Nothobranchius furzeri: one gene and its partners. The protein of the gene in region 2 interacts with the protein of the main gene of each other region in a biochemical or structural test. Links are inferred from orthologs where the notes say so. Each region holds a gene or a part of one and is shown on either strand. Other genes may lie near its edges. The genes, in order: synrg, ap1g1 and eps15.

Region 1 (3,652 bases), on a different chromosome or scaffold from region 2:
TTGTCACCAACATCTGAACAGAAAGTTGTACAACAGTCACGAACCGTTTTAACATGAGTCACGGGCCACGGCTGTGACGTACGGCCCCAGATTGGAGCGCCGTGGGAGTTTGATTCACCTGATGTGGGGGGCGTCGGCTCTGCGGGCTGATCTTCAGACAGCTGCTTGAACACAGCGTACTTATCGGTGGACGTGACAGAGGAAGAGGAGGAGCCAGACACTGGAGTCAGCATGGCCGGAGTGCTGTTCAAACACAAAAGCTCACTTCAGACGAGAGGAGTGAACGAGCTTTACCCTCTAGCAGACGTCGGAGATGATTTTAATGTTTAAAAGGTTTTTAATAAACTCGCTGTGGTCTCTGGCTTGAACGAACGCCTTGTGGGAGAAAAGCCTTGGCGCTCCTGTTTCAGGAAGGAGAAGTTTATCAGAGGAGTCTTACTCCTTAATTTTCATGATATACAAATGTCTGTCCTCTGATTGGCTAACAGAAACACCACCCTTCCGTGGCCTTCGTTCACTTTTCTTTCTTGGATAAAGCCTAATTTATACTTCTGCGTCTGCGTCGGGACCAAGCCCCCACAATACGGGTCTGAAAATGAGGCCAACACGGAAGTGACAAAAATTGCAGTTTCACCCTCATCCACTAGGGGCTGGTGTCAGAAGCGAGCAAATCCTCATTGACTCCCATGTTAAAAATACCAATTTCACAGCAGAAATAAACATGTTTACAGCCTGGTACCAGAACATGTTTTAGGTTTAAATGATCTAGTTTACACTCATGACAACTCTGAGGGGGGTGAGTTTTTTTCTCACTCTTCTGTTTAAGTGTATTAAAAGCCTAAAATTCTGTATAATTAATGAGCATCAGACCCACGTGACCGCAGAGCTAGCTCCGGGGAAAGGCCTCAGTAGAGCCTCGGCCTCGCCTGAAAACTGTTCCGTCATTTTCAGTCTCTCAACTTAGACCATTAGTTGTAGCGTTTGTGCGTTCATTTTTGGATATTATTTGAGCAATTGTTGGACAAAATGACTTGCTGTGGCATTAATTGCACTAATAGGCATCTTACTGTAAAAAATATACCATTAATGTAAAAAATAAACTCTAAATAAACTATGTTCACATCCAGAATCAAACCCAGGTCTTCTGCACGACAGCTCGAACTTATACTAGGCGAGCTAAAGCACCAGTGGCATCTTCTGCATCTATAACTTTTATATCCTTGATCACAGCTGAAACAACGTTCAAAGAACGGTTCGGAGGGCGATGCCTGAGCGTGAACGCGCATGAAGCAGCCTGCTCGACCCGAGCATCTCTCTTTTTCTGTGATTTTACAGAAAAACAGGCAATCACAGTAAAAATGCCAGGGCTCATTCTACAGGACCAGGGCATTGCAGGAGAATGTATGAAGAAGACATTTATTATTTCTATACATGTTTTGGCTGTCACACTTCCATAATGCCCCTTTAACCATGAAATTTAAATGTAATAGGGTAAAACCCAGTGCATTTAACTTAATGCTGCACTTTAGAAAATGGGTTGAAATGTGACATGTTGGTGGAGCTGGGTTCCGACTATTCGTATGGATTCCCTCCCCTCAGCGGCAGCTCAGCGCATCTCAGATCGCAGCGGCGGCGCCCGTCTGTTGTGCGGCTGCCGGCCTGTGAAGCTTTCGGGAGACCTCTGTGTTCCACCCGGTTTTACCCAGCGCTCAGACCGGCGCATTTCTGACTCAGAAGTTCTGGTGTTGTGCACAGTAAACTCTGGTTGTAGCTAGGTAGCTACCTCCGTTAACTTAGCTTCCACCTCCGTGTTAGCTTTGTGTTAGCTTGTAGCTAGTTCGACGGGTGTCGTCATTTGATCCCAGCCTTACAGCCCCGCCTTCAGCTCCACCTCTTTTCCCTTTATTGGAATTGTCTGGGCTTGACGGAACCTGTGACACGGTCAAAATGGTGGTGGTGGTCACCTCCCATTTTGGCACAAAAACTTAGAATTGGAGCCTATGGACACGCATTGTCCAATATATATGGTGATGGTCGGGACGGACGCACGCAACACCATTATCCGTCCTTTCAAGGGTTCTCTCGCAGGGATGAACGGAGTCGAGCTCTCTTCTCTAAACATCCGTCCAATGAGATGGAGAACGCAAGCTTGTGATTGGTCACGACGCCGCTGTCGTCTACAGCTCCGCCATTGCGCCCTCAAACACAAAGAGAGCTGAAGATATCTAGCAGCAGACACAGAGAAGCCTGAAGAATACCTAACCGTAAAAATATAAACGTTTAATTCCCCCCTGACTGGAGGAGTGAAAAGATGAGCAGCAAGCGTTTTACTCGTGGACGGAAATGACGGGAAACGTAGGTTAGAGGCGGCGAGCGCATGATTGTTAGAAAGTCTCTTAAATATAAAAAACACAATATAAAAACACTATATTGGACGGGATACCCCCAGAACAGCGCTACGCCCTGTTGTCCTGGTGGAGAATTGCTTTGCAACACTCCCCGGGAGACGGAGAAGTCCAAAGGCAAACCGTCTCTGTCCCGGCGTGCGTGTCCCCCTCGTGGAGCTGATGGGAGACGTAGAAATTTGGCTTAAAAAATACGATGTTTCATCTCTATAAATAAAACAAGTCTGAAGGAGTTCTGCTGTTGTGGAGCTGCTAATGCTAACAGTTAGCTTCTACTAGCTGCTCTGTCCTTCAAAGTGGGCGGGGCCAAGAAAAATCCATTTTCCTTACGACGTAGAAGAGTGTGGCTTTTTCTGACCTGATTTTGCTCCCGTAGGTTTCCTTTCTGTGGCTAAAGCAGGTGATGGGGTTGGAGGAGATGTTCTGGTTCAGCATGTGAAACTCAGAGCGACCGATCGTGTTTAATAAAAACACGCATTCTAAGTAAACGAGGCTTTTGAAGGTTCCAGCTCGAGTCAACAAGAGTCCTTAAACAGGAAAATGTGTTTCAGATCAAATGTGTTTACAGAAAGTAAAACGCAGAAACGAACACCGCCGCTGTCCACTGGCATGAATTTATTATGGGGTGACCCCACCTCATTGCTATTCAGAGGAGGCTATTACAAGGTACTAACAGAGTGTACGGCAGACGGAAAGAGACAATTATTATGCAGAATACCTCTGCTATAAATAATCATGGGGGAGGGGGTATTGGACGCTCATCTCTGCAAATGTTCACATCTCCTCTTCAAAGAGGTTGATGGTGGAACACTCAGCTGGTAGCTTATTTCAAATGCAGAGCACAAAACTCCACTAGTTTAAAGGAAAGCCGAGTGTTTTATGTTGAAACTGATCAGAATGAAGACCATTTAGAGTTCTGTTTTCTCCGTACCTGTTTTGGAGTTGAGGGGCGATCGTATTAGGGAAACTTCCTCCCGACTCCCCCTGAAAGTTTGCGAAGGCCTGGTCCACTCCAGCCTTCGGAGCCTCCTGGAAGTCCTGGAACTCGTCGTCGTCGGTTTTGGCGGCCTGCGTGGGACGGTTTGACGGTTAGATAAGAGAAGCAACCAGCTGCAGAGAGGCTTTTTAACGAGGTTTGGCGTTACCTGCGCAGGAGGGAACGCAGCAATGAAGCTGGTGTTTGTGGGCGGCTGAGCAGGTGCAGAGGGGGCCATGGCCATAACTGGAGCTGCTGGTGTGGCCATCGG
Region 2 (3,652 bases):
TAAACTCACACCAGAGATGATAAAAGCCCTGAGAGAAACAATTACAAAAATCAGTTTTTCTCGTTTTTCAAGTTACTTAACATAAATTAAAATCGTAAACATATTTAAAGTGCAAACATGTCAATTGCAAACGTATTGTGCAAACATTAACTTGTTCAAAATACTACGTAGCTCCCAGTTGCTCATGTAGTGGATAGTTAAGCTCAAATACGGCTCTGATGTGCGGCTGGACCAGAGATCGCTTGTGGTAGCAAAAAACTGCGAATTCTGAATATTTTCTGCAACAAGTCTCTAAATAAAGTAAAAATTTCCAGTGCACATTGGAGACAACCCATAGAAGCACTGATTTGATCTCATTTCAGAGAAAAATAGAACAGGTTAGATGCACCTAATAAATAAAATTACTAACAAACTCAGGAATCTTTCTTTGCTTCACTGTTCTGGTGCTGAAAACATCACTGATGTGGATCAAAGGAGATGCACAGATGAATGCACCTCTTATTATTTGGAGACTACATTTACTGCAGCTGGCAGAGGAAGAGATCGTTTCTATTGATACACGGAGTTTACAGAATCATTTTAAATTGTAATAGGGGAAGACTGCAGGAGGGAGCGGTAAAATACAGGGGGTCCCAGCAAAAACAAGAAACTACGAGTCTGATGAAACCCGCTGGTTTTCCATCAGGCAGTCACGATGCAGCTCCAGCGACCGAGCTCAGTCCAGTACCAACACCGGCTCGGCAGAGGGTGAACGAGCCGAGGCGGCGTCGTGCTCTGCTTAAGAAGCGGTGTTATTTTCCTGATTCAGAAGAAGCGTCCAACGTGTTTTTACGCTTTCTCCGAGACATGTCACGTCACTAAGTTGTTAGCGCCGTGCGCTAAGGAAACCCTGCGTTCCTCTTCGGAACGAAAACCTCATGTCGCTCTCAGCCGCGGCCGAAGCCATGTTTGTTCACACACAAGTGAAAACAAGCGGGGCACTAATGTATTACTATGACTCACTCTGATTGGTTAAGGGTCAAACAAAGGCGTGTCATTCGCCTGGGGTAAGTTCCCTTTTCATTCAGAGGCAGAAATTCAACAGCAGAGCTGTGAATCGTGATAAAACGGTCTCTCAAAAATGACAGACCGTCAGATGTGTAGATCGTAAAACGGTCTAAATTCGTCATATCGCCCAGCCCTAGCCTGGGGCCAAAATACATGTTGCATCTCCTTGCAGTATCTATGCCCAGCAGGGCTCAGATCCGTAGGAAGTGGTCAGCTGGTAGAACCCCGGGTCAGAACCAAACAGGGTGAAGCTGCTTTTAGCTACTATGCTGCACACAGAGGGAATCAGATTCCTCATGACCTCAGATGTACCCCAACTCTAGTAACATTTGAATCAAAATTGAGAATTTTCATGTATTCATCATCTTTTGAATGAATGTTTCTTTTGCTGCACTTTCTGCACTGTAACTGCTGTAATTTGTTCTGTTGTCACGTGGATTTTAACGCTTTACGTTCCTGCTCCTGGACAGACCATTGAATTGCTCATGTACAATTAAAGCTGCCTTGCACTACAGTGGAAAAAAAACAACAACAAAAAAACATCTAGACTTGTGTAATATGAGTTATACCTAAAATAGTTAAGGATACTCACTTCACACTGCTGAAACGAGTCGACAGTTTCATGATAGCAGTAAGAGAATAACCCCGAGTCACAGGTGTGGACAGATTAGACACAAGAAGCCCTTCCAACACATCCAGAACTTCATCTTCAGTCACCTTTATTAAAATAAAAGAACATACATTTGTATAGCATTAGTATTTACAATGTTCGTGATCCTTAGTTTGTGTGTTTCTTCATCTTTTCAATATACCTGGATGGGTTCTTCCTCCTCACATTGCCCTGACACCAGCAGGTCTCCATACTCTCCTATGCACCATGATGCAACCTGAACAAGAGGTTGCTAGGGAACGGACAGAGAAGATAAAACTAAGTTTCTAATGCACTAATGGAAACATAAACGCACATTAGATGATCAAATCTATGGCTGGAGGCTTCAGAGGTGAAGATTACATTTAATTTAATCAGAAGCTAAAGCAGAGCTGCACCGACCTGTGAAATGTCATCCAGAAGTGCTTTGTAAAGTCTCTGAACTGTGTAGGCATGCATCTCCACGCTGTTTGTGATGAGCTGAATAAGGTTGGGAACGGAGTCGTCTCGCACGTAGCTTCCTGCCTGTGAAGATAATCAGAAAAAATAAACAAACGACGCAGAACACTAAGCTGCAGAATTACAAATTACATTCAATTACATTGTCATTGGAATGTTTTTGTGGTATACATACTGTTGTCAGCACTCTCATGATGGTGTCTATGTGCCACCTTTTAGAAGGAGCATACCTGTAAAACATAAAATATTAGATTGGTCACAGAGGAGAACAGGAAACGTGAAGTTCTTGTACAGCCGGACGATGTACGCTGTCAGAAAATAGAAGGCATCACCATGATCACTCAGATGATGGATCACTCTTTTTATCATCACACAGCTTTCTTTAACCGACATCAGACATTTACCCTGACTTCTCAACAAAAGAAACCCTGAATTCACCATGCCAGGACAAAATGGGGCAGAATGGCTTCACAGATCTCTAAAAATCAGCAAACTGAAAAACAAAACGTAAGGTCGTACTTCTCAGCGGCTAGAAAGACTCCCGACGCGCAGTCTGCTTTGAATTCTGGGTCACACGAGTCCAGGAAGTAGAGCAGCTCCTTCATCATGCCTCTGATGTTGTTGCCGTTCACAAGAGCAAAGCTCAGCTCCATTGCACGTCTGAAAAAACAAAAATAAAAATCAGAAAACGAAGAGTGAAACTATAACCGCAGCAATTCGAGCAGCAGGACAAACCTCTTGATGGACACGTCCAGGTCTTTCAAACAGTCCACGATGGTGCTCCGATGCCTCTGAACTGCATTGTGATCCGTTTGTACCGTCTTTAGTAGAGACGTCAATGCCACATATCTGGGGAAAATCAAGCGGTCTATTAAAAACAGCACTTAAATGTATGCACTAAAATTCAAGTGGGATGAGTGCATTAATAAATACCTAATATTTTTGTCGTTGTTAAGGAGGAAGCGACCCAAGATGTTAATGGCCAAAACCTGCAGGGAAAAGGACATTTAAGCTGAGTCAGAATAGAAAAATATTGTGATTCAGTTCTTTAAATCAACTCACCCTCAGTCCGCTTTCAGACTTGATGTCCATTATCGTGAGTACGGTCTCATACAGGATTGCATTGCCTACATTTTTACTCGTCTCTGTGTTTGTTGCCACCTGCAGGACATGACTGTCAGTTACACAAAATCAGCAGCGACTTTTAAATCCAATTAGAGTTTTATTATCATTTTAACCTGTGCGAGTATGTCGTTCATCGCTTCACTGGAGTCGTCGTCGTTCTTGCCTAAAATTCGCAGTAGTCTCAATATCCGCACCTGGTCATTGAAAACATTCATCACAAACAGCTTTAAGATTCCAAAGTCACTAAAAACTACAACAGCAGTGTGTGTTTTAGCTGTAGGGATTTATCGCCAGCATTAAACCTGAGACCATGACTACTTTTACATGCAGCCATTATCCGGGTTATGATCGGGTTAAGGTCGGTATTCGGGT
Region 3 (3,652 bases), on a different chromosome or scaffold from region 2:
TCAGCCAGTCAAACACACAGTGTGTGTGGGTTAGGGTCGGACAGAAACATGCAGGTGGGGTCATTAAAAAAAATCATCACCGTCTTCTCGATCATCCAAACCCAAATTCACAACTTCTGCAGCTTTAGGGGGATGTTTCAGAAGCAGTTACAGCAAAGGTGCACTTGGGTGCAGTTTTTAATGGAAAAGGCCTCTGTGGTAAAACTTCCCTTAAATATGGTGATTTTGCGAAACAAGGTGTGAAATATTTCTTTCACCCGTGAAGAGTTTGGCTAAAGCTAGTTAGTTAAAACCCGTCTCTGAGCTTCAGCAGACACAGAATAAGCCGCTGGACCTCAATACACACGTTCACTCAAAAAGCAGCGTAAAATCTTTCTAATGCAGTAACCTAGTTTAGGTTATTCTGCTTTAACATGCGTGCGTGCACAGGGTGCAACATCAAGCAGCCTCTCATCTAGAAACTACTTTAGCTCTGAAATTGTGACTGTGGCTACAAATCAATTCAAATATATTAATTTATATAGTTTTAGGATATTTCTGTACATTTTTATGTCACAAATTACCAGAGAGCATCTATCCAACTACAAAAAAAGCCTTAAATTTAATCAAAATCTCCCAAATAAATGTGGCAAATTAGTGATTTTTAAGAAAATGGCATTAATAACAAACAGCAAACTGCAGGTGGGATGAGTGGAAAACATCTCTAAAACATTCTAGAATCACGCTACTTAGTTAAACTGTGAATAAAACTTTAGCTTCCTTTCTGTGGTTGTTGCTGTTGGCTGAGAACGGCACTGGCCTGATTTACTTGGCGGAGGCTGCGTTCCTGAAAAAGCTGCGATTTGTTTGCAGGAAAGAAAAGAGGGTGTGACTATTGACATTCAGGTGGAGGTGAGGGAGATGACGAGGGGGAGGTGCTCACTTTGTCAAAGCTGGCAAACCGATCAGCTTCCCGCAGGTTGTGCCGAGGAGGGGAGGAGGGGGCGAAGGGGTCAGCTAAAGGATCCTTGACAGGCAGGGAGGAGGAGGAGGAGGAGGAAGAGGAGAAGTCTCCTGAGGTTTGTGGGATGAAGTTTCCCCTTCGTTGGAAGGACTCAGAGGACTCGGTCCTAGAGATGGACGACCTCTTACCTGGAGGACAAAGTGCTCGTTTTCACTTGATGCGTCTCTACAGCAAACGTTTACAACCGTCCAGCCGTGTCACTGACCTGGAGGTGGAGGGGGGGGTCTCGTTGGAGTACCCGTTTTAGGGGGCAGGGCCGGAGGAATGTCCGAGGTGGGAGACTGGCTGTCCTCCTGAAACAGGTTCTTGTTGTTGATCCCAAACTGGTCAGGACCGTTTGACTGGAACAGGAAGTCGACACCCCAGTTTAGTTACTGGTGTAGCTTCATGTGTTCAGGAAAATATGTATTCAACAGTAAAACCTTCAGACATTTAGAGGCCATGTCTAAACTCTGAACATCACCTTGGACAGATCGCTGAAATCTGCAAAGCCTCCGACGAACGAATCGTTACCAAACACCGCAGCAAACGGATCTGAAAGAAAACAGTTCACCACATAAAGGTATTTATTATCAAATGCTTCCTGTCTCTAGAGTCCAGAGTTATACCTGCATCTGAGGTGGCGTTCACTGTTGTACCTCCAGGGGCAAACGGGTCATTTGATGGTGCAGGGTCCTGAAAAACAGAGACAAATTACTTTATGTGCATGCTTTAATAAACTACTTGAAATAATCTTCCAAAAAATGATGAGCCTCTAAATGATGTCTTTGTTCTTATATTATTTAACGCGTATTTAATCCACTCCAGCTGTCTACAGGGGATGGGTGATCATGTAGCATCATGCCTAGATTTGGGTTTAAGGGACCGTCATGCACTTTCTGGAGCTTTTGACCATGTTTTTTGTTTTTGTCCTCATTAAAAACACCCCCAAAGTGGTTTTTGGCTTCACACATGTATTTTCCCGTCTCAGCTGCAGAGTCTCTGGAGGTCTGCTAAGTCATTGCCAACAGCTGAATGAAGCAGGTCTGCATCATCGTGCACGGCTTCTCTCCATCCAGGTAGCATCGAATCTGGATCCCTCCTCTCCTGGACTGTAAACATTAACATTCAGTCCCTGCGTAGTAAGAAGGGAGTTTAGTCTCCACATTTGTGAAGAAGGAATTTCTTTATGTAGTCTGAATTTAAAATAATGCCTAGAACCCAAAAACGGTTCTGAAGAAGAGTTTAATTCATCTTCAGGAGCTCAAAACCGAGCCAGAATGAGATCATGATTTCACAGATTGGTTATTAATGCACCACCAATACCGGAGTGGGTTTTCAGATGGATTACTTCTTCAGACTGTGGCCAGCGTTAAAACCATCCTAGCATGGGCCACAGTGGCGTTGGTGTTAGCAACTCATTACCGGCTTCTACGACGGAGAACAGAGGTGGGGGTCACACTTGGCAATCGCAGGGTGGCCCTTTTGTCCTGATCCTCCCAGTAGCCACTTCACTACTGGTGTGCGTTTTAATCTACTGCTATTTTCTTCATTGTCCACAGCGCTTTGCTGGGGCTTCAGGGTTACGTTGTGTAATGATGGAATTCACACAGGTGGAGGTGAGATTTCATAAAAACCAAGCGTCTTATTTCTGGGTTGATAAAATGTCAAGAAAATAACTTGTTTTCCTGAACTAAAGACTCTCGATAGTGCCAGCGGTGGTATTTTAATCATTTACTGTGCCTAGCCTTGCTCTGTATGGTTTAAAATAGCATGATACACAATCTCTAAAATGATAAAAGGAGCCACTCACCAGAGCAACATCAGAACTCACAGAACAGTTGAAAGGATCTGTTCCTCCATCCCGTGAACTAAACGGATCCGTCTCCCCTGAGGGGTTGATTTTGCCTCCAAATGGGTCCCGATCCACCTTGCTGGTTCCCGTCGAGCTGAATGGATCCTTGGATGCTGGAGTTGGATTCATGCTTTTGGAAACAAACGGATCCTGGACTTCTGCTGCTGGTGCGGATGGTGTTGGAGCCATATCATTTAGCTTGGCTGCAAACAGGTCTGGTTCTGGCACACCGGGGGTGGTACCAAATGGGTCAGCTGAAGCGGAGAAAGGGTCCTCTGAGGAAAAGGCGGCGTTGGAAGTCTGTGCAAAAAAGGAATCTGCAGCAAACGGGTCCGAGCCTTTGAACGGATCTCCTCCAAAAGGATCTGACATCAAATGGAAAAAAAAATAGAGTTGGACATTTCTTTTCAACCTAACAGACCCATTTCTTAGACTGAAAAGGTAAAACTGACCTGCAACATCTGCTTTACCAAAAGGATCGTCTTTAAATGGATCATCTACAAAAAAGTCCATCTTTAAACATTTCCATCTCAGTGGGTGACTCAACAGACGCTTGACTCTTTATTATGAGAACTCACGATCTGTAAAAGGGTCTGAATGAAAGAAGTTCATCTCAGGCAGGGAGGGGGGGCTCGTTTGTGGTGGCATGGAGCGAGGTCCAACCTGAGGAGGCAACGAGGGGATGGCAGGTTCTGTCAAGTCTGCTGGCTCTGGTTTGCTCTCTGGCTCTGGGGACTCCACCTGTAGGGAGGTGACATGGTGCTGACTAGAATCTTCACAGTTACAGTTTATACATGTTTTATGAATCCTGTCTT

The links.
Region 1: the proteins of ap1g1 (region 2) and synrg form a complex in vitro, tested with the Homo sapiens proteins (2 studies listed by BioGRID). The link is inferred for Nothobranchius furzeri from reciprocal best matches to the Homo sapiens genes AP1G1 and SYNRG.
Region 3: the proteins of ap1g1 (region 2) and eps15 form a complex in vitro, tested with the Homo sapiens proteins (2 studies listed by BioGRID). The link is inferred for Nothobranchius furzeri from reciprocal best matches to the Homo sapiens genes AP1G1 and EPS15.

Annotation. Positions count from the first base shown.
Region 1 is NC_091753.1:55,105,182-55,108,833, forward strand, and holds part of synrg (synergin gamma), read right to left. Parts: coding exon 3,551-3,652; intron 3,474-3,550; coding exon 3,337-3,473; intron 244-3,336; coding exon 119-243; intron 14-118; coding exon 1-13. UniProt on the Homo sapiens protein: Plays a role in endocytosis and/or membrane trafficking at the trans-Golgi network (TGN). May act by linking the adapter protein complex AP-1 to other proteins. Component of clathrin-coated vesicles.
Region 2 is NC_091749.1:59,364,617-59,368,268, forward strand, and holds part of ap1g1 (AP-1 complex subunit gamma-1), read right to left. Parts: intron 3,475-3,652; coding exon 3,394-3,474; intron 3,317-3,393; coding exon 3,218-3,316; intron 3,145-3,217; coding exon 3,089-3,144; intron 3,005-3,088; coding exon 2,891-3,004; intron 2,816-2,890; coding exon 2,675-2,815; intron 2,386-2,674; coding exon 2,331-2,385; intron 2,222-2,330; coding exon 2,099-2,221; intron 1,950-2,098; coding exon 1,860-1,949; intron 1,765-1,859; coding exon 1,640-1,764; intron 1-1,639. UniProt on the Homo sapiens protein: Subunit of clathrin-associated adaptor protein complex 1 that plays a role in protein sorting in the late-Golgi/trans-Golgi network (TGN) and/or endosomes.
Region 3 is NC_091748.1:56,873,479-56,877,130, forward strand, and holds part of eps15 (epidermal growth factor receptor substrate 15), read right to left. Parts: intron 3,579-3,652; coding exon 3,416-3,578; intron 3,335-3,415; coding exon 3,290-3,334; intron 3,203-3,289; coding exon 2,796-3,202; intron 1,679-2,795; coding exon 1,612-1,678; intron 1,538-1,611; coding exon 1,467-1,537; intron 1,345-1,466; coding exon 1,209-1,344; intron 1,132-1,208; coding exon 923-1,131; intron 836-922; coding exon of another isoform or gene 752-835; exon of another isoform or gene 1-751. UniProt on the Homo sapiens protein: Involved in cell growth regulation. May be involved in the regulation of mitogenic signals and control of cell proliferation. Involved in the internalization of ligand-inducible receptors of the receptor tyrosine kinase (RTK) type, in particular EGFR.